Regions from separate parts of the Mus musculus genome. Here regions 1 and 2 are each reported to be linked to region 3. The links are microRNA targets in miRTarBase. Many come from high-throughput screens and were not tested one by one. Region 3 holds a microRNA gene; each other region holds the end of a gene's coding sequence.

Region 1 (4,620 bases), not on the chromosome of region 3:
TTCTGCTGCTTGCCAGAGAAGTACATATTTTAACCTCTCAGGCCCATTTTATATTTTGTTTTGTTTGAGATGGAGGTCTCTCTACATAGCTCTGGCTGTCCTAGAACTCACTATGTAGACCAGGTTACCTCTGCCTCCTGGGTGCTGATATTAAAACATGTACATGATCATGGCCAGCCCCAGTTAATATTTCTTTAAGCCGCACTTATATTTCTTTAAGATAGTAAGACTGGGGGCTGGAGAGTTGAGAACACTGTTCCCTCTTCCAGAGGACCTGACTTCAGCTCCAAGCACCCAATTCAGTCTGGTTATGATCATACATAACTCTTAGTTCCAGGAGATCTGACACCTCTAGCCTCCACAGGCTTCTGCACTCACATGCACAAATCCACATGCACGCACGCACGCACACGTGCGTGCGCACACACAATGAATTTTAAAAAGACTATAAAAGATAGAACCACATCACATTGTGTATTACATCTTATAAACAATTTAAAAATATTTTTATTTTTTATTTTATGTGCATTGGTGTTTTGCCTCCATGTATGTCTGTGTGAGGGTGTCGGGTCACTGGGAACTAGAGTTACAGTTGCCAGCTGCCATGTAGGTGCAGGAATTGAACCTGGGTCCTCTGGGAGAACAGCCAGTGCTCTTAATCGCTGAGCCATCTCTCCAGCCCCCTAGACAATACTCTAATAAACTCATCATTTGTTGAACAGGGTCTCACACATCAGTCTAGCCTCAATCCTGCTATGAAGCTCAGATTGACCTTGAACTTCTGATCTTCAAGCTGCTACCCCCACCCCCAAGTTCGGGGAATTACTTGGGTTAGGCAGTGCTGGGGATAGAACTCAGGGCTTCATACACACTAAGCAAGCATTCAGCTAACAGAACCACACCCACATCCCTAGCGTTCTTTTTTACATTAACAGAGCAGCATGGGAATCTCCAGGTATCCTTGGGATACCTGACAAAGACAGGCACAGTCTGTGTGGACATTGCCGCCCATACTCCACAGACTCCGCACAGAATTATCAATCCTCACTCATTCTGTTTCATCTGGTTTTCTTGGAGATTGAACCTCAGGCCTTGTACATACTGGACAAATTTCATACCACTGAGCTATAGCCTCAGGCCTTCACAATTCCAACTCAAGGTACACATATAATGCAGGTCAATGAGACCGTTTAGTAGAAAAAAAGGTGCTTGCTGCCACAACCCAAGTTCAAGTCCCAGAGAATCAACTCCCCAAATTATTCTCTGACTTCCATGTATGTCATAGCATGTAAATGTATGCAATCACAGGTGCACACCCAAGTGCACGAACACACACACACACACACACAGGTTACAATTTGACTCTCAAATGTCTCCCACAGTTTTGTTTTTTGTTTTTATTTCCCCCAGCTCATAGGGCTATTTTGAAGCATGTGGAACCTTTAGGAGGTGGAACCTGATTGGCACAAGTAGGTCACTAGAAACAGTCATTTTAACATTATGCCTGCCCACCCACTCCCTGCCAGGCTTAGTTAGCCAAGTGTTTCCTGTCTGCCACCATGTTTTGTTAAGGTGTCGCCTTAAGGTATTGGAATGAAATCATGCTGTAACACAAACCCGTAAGTTATTCTTCACCTGTTTTATCACAGCAGTGCAAAAACAACCATCACAATAAAACTTGAATCTGTCCTGAGCCAATAGGATGATGGATAATTTAGGGATTTGATAAAATAAGGAAAAAAATATATAATGTGTTCCAGACTAGCCAAGGCTACACAGTGAGACCCTGTCTCAGAAAAGTCATATCCTTGCCAATACTTGATATTGTCAACCATCCAGATTTCGGCCATTCTAATAGACACATAACTATGTCACTATGATTTTAATTCCTAGTGCCTGTTAATGTACTAGCAACTTCTCACACTATATCTGTCATTTGCATATCTTTAAAAATTTGTAGCCAGGTATGGTGGTGCACGCCTTTAATCCCAGCACTCAGGAGACAGAGGCAGGCGGATTTCTGAGTTCGAGACCAGCCTGGTGTACAAAGTGAGTTCCAGGACAGCCAGGGCTGCACAGACAAACCCTGTCTCAAAAAAAAAAAAAAAAAAAAAATGTGGCTGGAGAGATGGCTCAGCAGTTGAGAGCACTTAGTGCTTTTGCCAAGACCCTTAGTGACATTTCTGGCACCCACATGTTGGCTGACAACCATCTGTAATACAACAGAGATGCAAGTGGCACACAAAAACGCATGAAGGCAAAACACTCATACAAATAAATATAAGATCTAAAAGAGAAAACTTAAGCTAGGTCGTGGTGGCGCATGCCTTTAATCCCAGCACTTGGGAGGCAGAGGCAGGCAGAGATCTCTGTAAGTTTGAGGTCACCCTGGTCTGCAGAGTGAGGTTCAGGACAGAAAAAGCTACACAAAGAAACCCTGTTTCAAAAGACCAAAAAATAAAAAATTCAAAACTGTGATTGTGTGTGCATGAAGCACGAACTTGCAGAATTTGGTTCTCTCGTTCCATCCTGTGGGTTCCAAAACTGGCAACCCTGACAGCTTCCATGTATCTTTTTTGATGAAGCATCTGTTCAAATATTACTTTTAAAGTTGGGTTGAGGGACTGGAGAGATGGCTGAGTGGTTAAGAAACACTGTTCCAGATGACCGAGGTTCAATTTCCAGCACCCATACGGCGGCTCACAACCCTTTGTAAGAGAGGAGTTCTAAGGTATCCGACAACCTTTATGGGGTCTCTGTGGGCACCAGGCATGCAAGTAGTAAGCTGACACACAAAGCAGCAAGGCACCAATAAACAGGAAATCACTTCTCTGTAGTTGAGTTGCTTGTTTTACGATTCCTTTATTATGCATCTGTGTGTCACTGTTGGTTTGAGTCTATACATGTAAATGCAGTGCCCTTAGAGGCCAGTAGAGTGCACAGGATCCCCTGGAAATGGAGTGACAGCTTCGAGTTACCTGAAAGGGTGCTGGGAACTGAACTCAGGTCCTAGCAGCAGGAGTTCTTAACCTCTGAGCCATCTCAGCCCCTGCTTGCTTTCGAATATTTGAAGTCCTTTATATAGTCTGATAACTCTTTTTTCATACCTGGTAACATATGTTTTATAGAATCATCATATATATGACAGATATTTCATCTATAATTGTTCACTAATCGTTATGTAAATGTTTTTAACTTTGATAAAATCCAATTGTTATTATTACTATTATTTATTTGGAACACTAGAGATCAAATTATGTAAAGCACTGGGGAGGCAGAGGCAAGTGGATCTTAGAGTTCAAGGCTAGGACTGCACAGGGAGACCCTATCTCAAAAGAGAGGTGGGGAGGGGGGAGGGAGGGAGAAAGGGAGAGAGAGAGAGAGAGATCTATAGCATTTCACAGCAGTCTACAAAGACCACAAGCCATCTGACAGAGGGCCACTACAGTGACCCAGAGTGACTTTGATATTTCATCTATCTAATGTCTTTACATGGGGCTAGAGAGATGGCTCAGTGCTTTGGAGCACTGGCTGTTCTTCTAGGAAACTCATGACCATCTATAACTCCAGTCCCAGGGGATCCAATTCCCTCTCCTGACCTCTGCAGGCACGGCACTGCATACACACCTGGTGCATAGACATTTAAGCAGGCAAAACACCCATACATACAAAACAAAAAGGGGAACGTTGTCTTTGTAAGAATGCAGAGAAATACACTACATAATTATTTGTTAGCCGCAAAAATAACCACGGGACTTTGGGAAACAATGGCTGCTTTTAGACGAGAGCTGGAAGAAAAATGTTAATTTTTTACCAACTTAATATTTTGGGGATTAAACATCAATTTAATGTAGCATTTTATATTTAGCTATGTATGTCCCATGAGATGAAAAGTCACCAATTTGGTAAGGTGCTTCATTGGCAAACAGCTTTGGAAGACCAAAAGACCTACCAAAGGGAAAGAGAGGAGCGTCCTGCCTCCCCAGGCCTTCAGTTGCCCATGTCAGTGAAAGGCATGTCTATCTCCTCTGTAGCCCTCAGCCTGTCGCTCATTTGCAACGTGCGCTTCAGAGAGAAACATGTGCATGTCCAGGACCGTTGCCAGGTATGTATTTAAAGTGGGAAGGAGCAGAGATGGGTTTATCCTGGAAGCTTTACTGCTTCTGGGTTGGCGCATCACAGTACGGCACATTTTCTGTGAGAAGATCTTTCCTGGGGACCAGTTCTAAAAGGAACAGAGAAATGAGCGGTTAAGACGGTTAGAGCTCCAGTCACTACTTATCTTAAAGTAGACCTGGGGCCGGCACATCCGTCTCCCCAGCAGTTCTAACCGTGAGTTGTGTAATTTGGGAAGCATGCACTATTCTACAGACATTTTATTTCAGCTGATGTCTGAGGTGACTATGTGAGTCTAAATGGAAACATTTAATACGATCTTCATTCGTGTTACAAAAAACATATACAACCAAATCCTTTATCATTTCATTAAACACAACTAATAAATGACTGAATGGAATTAAGCTAAAAACACACTAATCTGTCAATGGCTCTTTAAAAATGTCACCTATGAATGATTTTTGAGACAGGATCTCATGTAGCTCTGGCTAGCCTTGAACTCCC
Region 2 (4,000 bases), not on the chromosome of region 3:
TTGTTAAAACTTATCAGAGAACATTCTGCCATTTGTGTCCTAAAGTTCCATCAGCCATCCAAATGAATATATTTAGTTTCCATGTACTTCATAACTTGAAATTTTTCAGAGAGTTGCTTAGAAAACTATACATTTTGAAATGATTCAGCGCAAAAGATTCTTTAATCTATATGGGCAATGGTTATTCATTAAACAGGATGATGAGAAAACAGGCAACAACCAAATACAAGAACAGAAGTTTGAGGCTGTTGGCTCCATGTAGGAATGAGCATGGCTAAAGACTTGTGTCTCATCTCCTGTGTCTTTCTTAGCGCTATATCTTACCTCAGCACCCATATCACCATATGATCCTAGAGTCTGACTTACATGGTGTCCATATAATATGAAATACATGTTCAGTATGTAGAGACAAATGGGTGCTGAGACTTTAAAGAGTGAAACAGGATGAGCACAGGAATGTGGGTGGCTCTGCATTTTTATAATTGCCTGAAAACCTCACTGAGATGCAAGGGATTGGTTTTGATTATTCATCAAGCCACAGAATCAAGAAGACTGAATTCCAAAAGGCTGTAGAGATTATTGGGTCCAATACAAAGAAAACTAGAATAGGTAATTCTTCTTTCCAAGGCAAAACAGAACTAGAACCCAGGTGTCTCAACTCCTAGTGTGCCTTCTTTTATTCAAGCAGCTGTCTTTCAATAGAAAATATTTGACCACAAGAATTTAATAAATGTATAGAACTGTATAGATTTGTTTTTATCTCATGAATGCTAACTTATTTTTGTGGAATGTAACTTGACTTTAGATAGCCATATTTTCCACATTTTCAAAATTACATATCTAAAGCCAATTTTTAGAAATTTCATACTATGAGCCATATATGCAGCATCAATTTTATAGTGGTGATTTGTAAATAAATGCATTTATTTGTCTCCTGGAGAAGGATAGAATGTCTTGGCAAAGAAGGTTTAGCTTGCATTGGCTTTGGTGTTTATTTATTTATTTTTTTGTTGGTAGCTTTCCAGGTGAATTAGATTCACTGACCCTCTTGGAGGTTGTGTGTATTTTGCATGTCATGGTCTTGTGTGACTTTATATAAGCAACATTGCTACGTGAACTTTAAATCACTAAGAGTTTTGATCTTGTTTTCTATTTACATACATTGTTGCTCATTTCAAGATAATAAACTTTTCTCCATACTTTCCAAGAGAGGGAGAGAAAAATAACTTTTTATGAAAATGGTCATAGAGAAAACTGCTTCTTCTTCAGCTTGCGCATGCCTGGGAGCTTAGTGAATGCAGTACGATTCAGACTCCAATTCTCTGTGTCTTTGAAGATGCAGTTGTTTCTCAGACATTCTGTATGGAGGATTCAGGGTATTGCATGAGCTTGGACAACTTTCCCAAATACTTCTGTTGTTCACAAGATGTCTTATATATTAGGAATATAAGCTTTGGCTGCTTGCATTTGTAGTTCTGGAAGCGTTTCCTTTGTTTCTTTTCCTTCGTCGGAGAATCTCTGAGGGCATGTGCATGTTGGGTGGAATGCTGAACTCACAAGAGGTGATTTCAGAGTCTCTATATCCAGTTGGTGAAAGAGAGAACTGATTTGCAAAGCAGAGGGAGAGTGAGTCATAGATGCTATGGTCCAATGGAGACCCAAGGCTTTGCTTTGAACTTTCCCAGGAAGCCTGCCCTTGGAGTTGGCTTGCAGATTCTACCATCCCCTGACCTTTAAAACTGTTATCACTGGGCAGATGCTTGCTTTCCTAAAACTTTTATCTGGACATCTGTGACGTGAGCACAGCCTGTGCCAAGATCTTGCAAATGCATGAATTCCAAGGAGATGCTGACGTTCGTTATACTTAAAATCCTTTTGTGTTCAGGATTGCTCAGATAAAAGGAAACAAAACAAAGTCAGATCTCTGTCTTGGAAACCCTCCATAGAAATCACTGCCCTTGTTCATGGTGGTTTGGGAGACTCTTCCATAGGTGGGCAGATGCCCTAAACTCATGGGAGAAATGTGTTATGGGTCTATAGAAAGCCCTAAAACCCAAAGTCAGTGATGGTTGCTGTTTAACGTATCCTAGGGATAAAAATAATCAGATAAACCTTACTCTATTGTACTCAATTGAGGTTTTCATCTACTTTGCATTCCTCAGTGGGCAATGGGTTGCCTGGCACTTCAGTCTAACAGGGACTGCATATACTGATAAACTTTGAATACTCACTGTAACGTTGCAGCAGAAATCACTCTACTCACTTGACTACGTAAACAGCAGTACTGGGAAGTTAGAAAATAGTCTTTACTTAAGCGATAGAAAAATAGTCTTCAAAAATACATTGCTAAACTTACGGGTTTGTATTAAAGTAGAATCGTATGTACAGTAAGGCAACACTTCTATTAGCATCCTGCAATGATTACCTTTTAGATCGTTAGTCTTGGGGGAATCGCTTTTTTCTACTAAGAAAACACTAGGGTTTATAACAAACCATCTCTTGCTCAAATGAAGCAAGGAACACGTTTGAAAAGGTTCACTGCGTGGAATTCATTGGCCTTATTTTGTATGAAAATTTTACTTCCTCAAACTACACACTTAAGAAGCCTTAGAATAAAATAAAGTTTCAGCAGAATAACCCAGGCTTAACATATTCAAATCACCTTAAGAAAACACTGGGGGCATGATACCATTTGCATACAGGCAATGGGTCATTAAGGTACAGGGACGGATGTAAACAATTTGGCTGGTGTCCTGGAATGTATTCTTTCCAAAATGTGCAATATTGGGACCATCATCATGAAAATGAAAGAGGAGTGTAAAGGCTTAGCCATCAGTTCTTAAGAGCCATTTTCATGGCATTTCCAGCCTGTCCGTCATCTTCTTGTGCTAGGCCATTTTGACTATTTCATGCCTTCTGTCTGATGACAAATCTATTGCAGAGGCTGTACCTGTTGGCACCATCCCTCAAGAATAGTAAGCGATGTGCTTTTATTTCATTGAATATATATATATGCGCATGTATATATGCATATATATGCACACACATATATATGGTAGCAAAGAGCAAATGTACAAATCACAGGAAACAAGTTGATTTGTTCTGGAAATCAGCTGTTGGAAAGAGGCAAATGCTGAACACAAGCGTGTGGAGGAGTGAAGTAGTGTTTTTCTTTTTGTTTTTTTTTTCTTTTTGTTTTTTTTTTTTATACCCACATCCTGTAACATCTGTTAGCAGACCACATTACTTCATGACTCTGTAGTGTTAACCTGAAGAGAAATCACATTTTAGTCAATCTGTCCATAAGTCTAGCTCTCAGTGAAAGGAGTGCATGAAGCACGTAGGATCCAGGTAATCCAGCCTGCCCAGTTGGAGTCTGCAGTTGCTTGAGGTTGCAGTAAAGCTGGCCAGATCTTTCTCAGATTGGTTCTGTTCAAGCGATGGTGGAACCTTCTTGGCTGATTCCTCAAGCAAAGCTGTGTTCTGGGCTCGTGAGTCTGGCACTAACACCAGGATGTTGTTATCCGTGACCCCAGATACCTTGGCATACTCCTTACTGGTTTCAGGAACCCCAGGGTTTTCTGTCTGGTGGTTTTCTCTCTGCTTGGGGAGTAATGATAGCACTCCGTCTTTGTTGACTTTGTGAATCTCCACGTAATCTGGGGGTTTAGCATAGACAATGGGGCCTTTCTCCTGGAGTGGTGGCCAAGATGTGTTTTGTTTGTCAGAAGGGAAGCTTTTGGCCCCTTCTTGCACAGCCACTTCTTCCTCTCCAGCATCTTCAGACAACTTTAGAACATTTTCCTCTGCTTTGTCCAAGAAAGAGTCCAGTGTATCTCCAGGACTTCCAGCTAGCTTGCACACATCGGCAATGCTGTGGTAAGGAGATCTGCGCGTGTGTTGGCCAGGTGGTAAAGGCCATGTTGTAGATTTGGATGTATCTGTATGACAATTGGGGGTGTTATTTTGGGGATTTGGGGTGGGAGGAATATTTGCCTCA
Region 3 (4,620 bases):
TAAGAAATAGTTTCAGTAAATAGTTTAGCAGTAATCTATGACAATGTTCCAAGAAGTCCATGCTAACGAGTGGATATCAGTTAAGCAGGTAAAAAGACAATTATCTGACTTTTTCATATTCCAACTAAGGCATGGAACATATACTGGAATTTACGTTTATATTTTTCAATATTCCTAGGTACCCTTTTCCCACCTCAAACATCCTTCTTACCTCACACAGCTAAAGTAAAAATATCCCAAAAATTCTAGAGCCTAATAAAAGTAGTACCTTAAAACAAAAGAAAAAATGTAAATACTTAAAATGTAAATTCTTTTGAACCTCCATTCTAAATACACCCTAGATGTGAATGACATTGGGGGGGAGGGTGGCCCTCTCCATCAGTCCTGCAACGCTGATGTGATCAGAGTGGGGGTAGCCCTCTCTATCAGTCCCACAAGCTGATGTGGTCAGAGGGTTTTCCCAAGGTTGCACTCACCATGATACCAAGAGCATTTTTCCAGAGTCTTACTTTTACTAATCAGCTATTTGGAAATTCTAACAGTGCAAACATTACTAACACCATCTTTTAAACTTTCTGAAGTCAATGAAACACTGCAATACAGTACAACAATACTGAACAGGTACAACCAAATCCTGCCAACATCCTGCTACTAGCGTATTTGTCCAATTTGGGGCATATATCATTTAGATAGAAACTGAGGCACACAGACACTTTAATGAACAGCAAATCAGTCTAAGCCACATCATTACCAGAAACCAAAATCTCAAAACAAAGTCTTCCAAAGTCACCTGGGCTTCGAACTAAACTAAACATAAAAAGAAGTTAAAGGTGGAGGAACTGTTTGAAATAAAAATGGTTGTTGGTAATCCTAAGTATTTACTGAGCCTTAACTACACGTCAACCACTAAGCTAAGTGAGCACTCTCAGGACTTCTACACCCAATCCTACAACAACCCTACAGGAGTTCATAAAGAACAGTCAAAACAAAGTTTTGAAATTTTACAAGCGAAAATCTAAGCTATTTGAGAATCTGCCCTTCCTTCTCTCTCTTCAGGCTGCATCTCTTAGCATCAATCTACATGGAGCAGGGGGAGAAATAAAGCAAGCCTACAAAACCGGCACTTTTAGAGCAGGGGCAGCAGGACCACAAGATACAGAAACCGGCTGAGCTAGAGTAAGAGCCTCTAAAAAACACAAAAGAGGGGTGGGAGCTGAGAGAACTGAAGCAGTAAGTCTGTGAGTTCAAGTCCAGCATAAACTATACAGGATTTTGTCTCAAAAATAAATGACATGAAATAATTCAATTATATTGAATCATTTATTTTCTCCCAGTTAGACAATACTGACCAATTAATCATTCTAGAAGCATCACAAAACTCTGAATTTAAAGACGGGAATAAAAAGCCCGCAGGCCAAGCCAGGTGGTGGTGGTGCACGCCTTTAATCCCAGCACTTGGGGAGCAAAGGCAGGTGTATCAACGCCAGTCTGGTCTACAGAGCAAGATCCAGGATTGCCAAAACTACACAGAAAAGACCTGTCTTAAAACAAAATAAAATAATAATAATAATAATAATAATAATAATAATAATAATAATTCCAGCTGAATAACTCTCCCCACTGGGGGCAAAAGGAATAGCATGTGTCAGGCTTGACAAAAAGGCATCTACTGCCCTCACTAGAAAACAATGATACCAGACTTCTGCAATAACCTATTCGACCACATGCACAGAAACTACTTACAGTTTCCAAGTCAAGTTTTGAATATGTTATTTTGCATTTAGATCTTATAAAAGCTAGTAAAAGCACTGTGATAAAACAGAACACCAAGCTGTTTATAAAGTCTCACTTTATAATTTCAGAAACAGAGTAAGTATGATTTCATTAATGTAACTTTAAAAAAATGAAGTTCTTAGAGTTTTAGGGATCTATTTATAAAATGGAGTAGACAAGAAAAAGAGTTCTCCGTGCTATTTAAACCAACTACATGTCCCAGCATGCAATGCTCTTATCTGAAGTTAAGAAAAAGCTGCAGTGCATCCTGGGACTTGTAGTAAGTAAACCAGCTTTTCACAGCAAGTTTCAGAAAGTCTGAACTGTGGAGCGCATCTGATTAGGTCTTATTTTCAGAGTCTAATCAAATTCAAATCAAATTTGTTTGCTCTCTGCTCTGGTATTGTTTCTCTAGTACATATTAGAAAAAGTAGCAATTCGCATTAATAACTTCCACTAGAAAAACCTCAAGTAAGAACAAAATGCTTTAAAAATAACTGACATGACAGAAACATAATTTTATACTTTTAAAAATAAGTTTTGTTGGATCAGTTGCAACATTTTTACCATCTCCCCACTAAGATGCTTTTACTATACTGTGTCCCCTTTAACAATTATTCTAAATATATTTTAAAATAATTTTACTTAAAAAATTCTATAACCAAGCATTTGCTATACTCTAGGATTGTTCACTAGGAAATATATCCTTACAGTAATATGCACGCGCACACACTCACAACAAAACACCTAAGCGCTTCTCTTGTCAAATCCTCCCTTTCCAGTTATGCCCATCACTCACCACTCCTAATATCTATATACACACACTACAGAACTCCGAGAAAAAAAGATTCCAATTTCCAAAATTACAAAAGTTTTTGTAAGCTACTAAGAGCACTTCCAATCTGAACTGTAGTTTACATACATATAGTTCCTTCTGACAGCCCTCTTTTCTCTAAGACTCTGGAAGGAGGCTGCAGTCTGCATCAGGAGGCCTACCGCAGGTGGTGGGTTATTTTCAGGCAACAGCACCTTCACAAACATGCTGTAGAATACAGGCCAAGAAACTCCTAACGAGGAGAGATAAGCTGGCACGGAGATTAACACAATCCAGCTAGAAGTCACCTGCAGCACGTGCTAGCACATTTCACCACAGAAGCGACAGGCTCCTCAAGTATCCAAAGCTTCATCAATACAACAGGATGTCCATAAGGCCAAAGATAGCAGTTGCCATGGTTACTATCACCCACTTTTATCATGAAATTATTGTCATTACCCTGAAGTTTAGGGTACTTACTTAAATGTTAAAAAGAAGAGTTCGGTGTTCTGTGGAGGGAGAAAAATCAAGTGCTGTCTGATCTGTAAGCATGCCACTCTAGAAATGCACATGGTTAACAACACTTGGATCTGCAGCGGGAAAAAAAAAATCAATTCCTTTCTGCTGCTCCTGTTCCTCAAGCACTGACAGTTTGTATTTTCAATGCAGCCAAAACAATAAAACAAAACCCATCTTTTTTGGCCTCTGTGACTGAGTTATGTTTTTCCCTTAGGCCCAAAAAGTCAAAATAAAACTACTAGGCCACACCCCTTCCAATCTCCATATAACTGGTTTAATCTTTTCCTCATTAAAAAGCAGAAAAGACTGCCTTAGTACATCCCAAAATATGGGAAAAAATAATTTCCTGAGACTGTATATGAACTATTATTATTAATTGAGTAAAAGAAAGGGGAATAGAGAGAGGAGAGGGACTTGAGAGCTGGGAGAGTCCAGGATGGATTCTAACTGCCACAGAGTCTACCTACGAATGGACATTACTCAGCAAAGAATCTGGGGTGAGTGAACCTCACAGTCTACATGGGAAGATTTGCCACCATTCTATAGTCAGGTGGCCCATGACACACAAAGTTGCTCTTCAAAGTCTATCCCGAGGTGAGCATGGTAATTCATGCCTGCAAACCCAGCACTTAGGAATCCGAAGCAGGAAGATTACCACAAATTGACCTCGCCTCAAAAAGTAAAAAAAAAATAAATAAAAATAAAAAAGACAACCATTCCAACACTGTTTCAAATGATAACTATGCAAAGATTTAATACACAGATAAGAATAATATACAAGTCTATAAAGAGTATAGCTATATATACATGGGAGCAAACAAAGGAAAAATATGCTCTTTAGGAATAAGTTATCTGGGGGGGCGGGGGGCGTGGAGGGGGAGGATGGCCCAGTGGTAAGAGCACTGCTGTACTTACTGAGTATCTAGGTTCATATCTTAGTACCCACATGGCAGCTCACATACATGCTGATAACTCTAGCACCAAAGGACCTGACACCTGTTAGGGCCTCCTCAGCACTAGGCATGCACATGGTACACAGACATACATGTAGCCGCTCACACATACACATAAAATAATAACAATTATTCTTAAAAAGAAATAATTGGGTTTGGGGACTTAGCTCAGTAGTAGAGTACTTACTTGCCTAGTAAAAGCAAAGCCCTGAATTCAGCCTGAAGCTCATGGGGGTGGGGGTAGACTCAAAAATCAAAGAAAAAGAGAGAGAACAGTCTATAGTAAGTCTAATGTCATATTAACACACCACCACTTAAAAATAAATTGCAAAGCACCAAAAATACACACCTGGTAAGGTTAATGTGATCAAAACATATTGAATGCTTCTAAAGACAGCCTAGGCCCACATGTAAATCCACAGGCAACAGCGCCAGAGAAGTCAGCATAAACCCAGCACAAAACATTGGAAAACTCAGATGCTTCCTCTATCTAAACAGACACATAAAGGAATTCTAGGGAAGGCCAGAGACCTAAACTTACTCTCTGCCATTTTCCTTCTG

What was found. The annotated mature microRNA mmu-miR-1955-3p reads GAGCAUUGCAUGCUGGGACAU and lies in region 3 at 1,988-2,008, opposite strand. An mRNA with a match to its seed (bases 2 to 7 or 8) in the 3' UTR can be bound and repressed. Matches are read on the target gene's strand: a 7mer-m8 pairs with bases 2 to 8, a 7mer-A1 pairs with bases 2 to 7 and ends in A, and an 8mer does both.
Region 1: miRTarBase lists Lyrm7 as a target of mmu-miR-1955-3p. Seed matches in the 3' UTR shown: 7mer-A1 at 3,852-3,858 and 7mer-A1 at 3,392-3,398.
Region 2: the mRNA of Prlr is a reported target of mmu-miR-1955-3p. The part of its 3' UTR that is shown has no 7-base or 8-base seed match.

The regions. Positions count from the first base shown.
Region 1 is chr11:54,836,978-54,841,597 of GRCm38, forward strand. It overlaps Lyrm7 (LYR motif containing 7), which reads right to left. Exons shown (of 5, transcript NM_029327.5): 5 at 1,373-4,225. The coding sequence ends at 4,155. Among named protein-coding and RNA genes, the nearest start is that of Lyrm7os, 19 kb to the left of the region's middle.
Region 2 is chr15:10,328,583-10,332,582 of GRCm38, reverse strand. Prlr (prolactin receptor) reads right to left here. Exons shown (of 10, transcript NM_011169.5): 10 at 1-4,000. The coding sequence ends at 3,316. Among named protein-coding and RNA genes, the nearest start is that of Gm41269, 27 kb to the left of the region's middle.
Region 3 is chr2:92,189,423-92,194,042 of GRCm38, reverse strand. It overlaps Mir1955 (microRNA 1955), which reads right to left and starts at 2,066; the gene lies at 1,969-2,066. The region is part of intron 1 of Phf21a (PHD finger protein 21A); the gene reads right to left.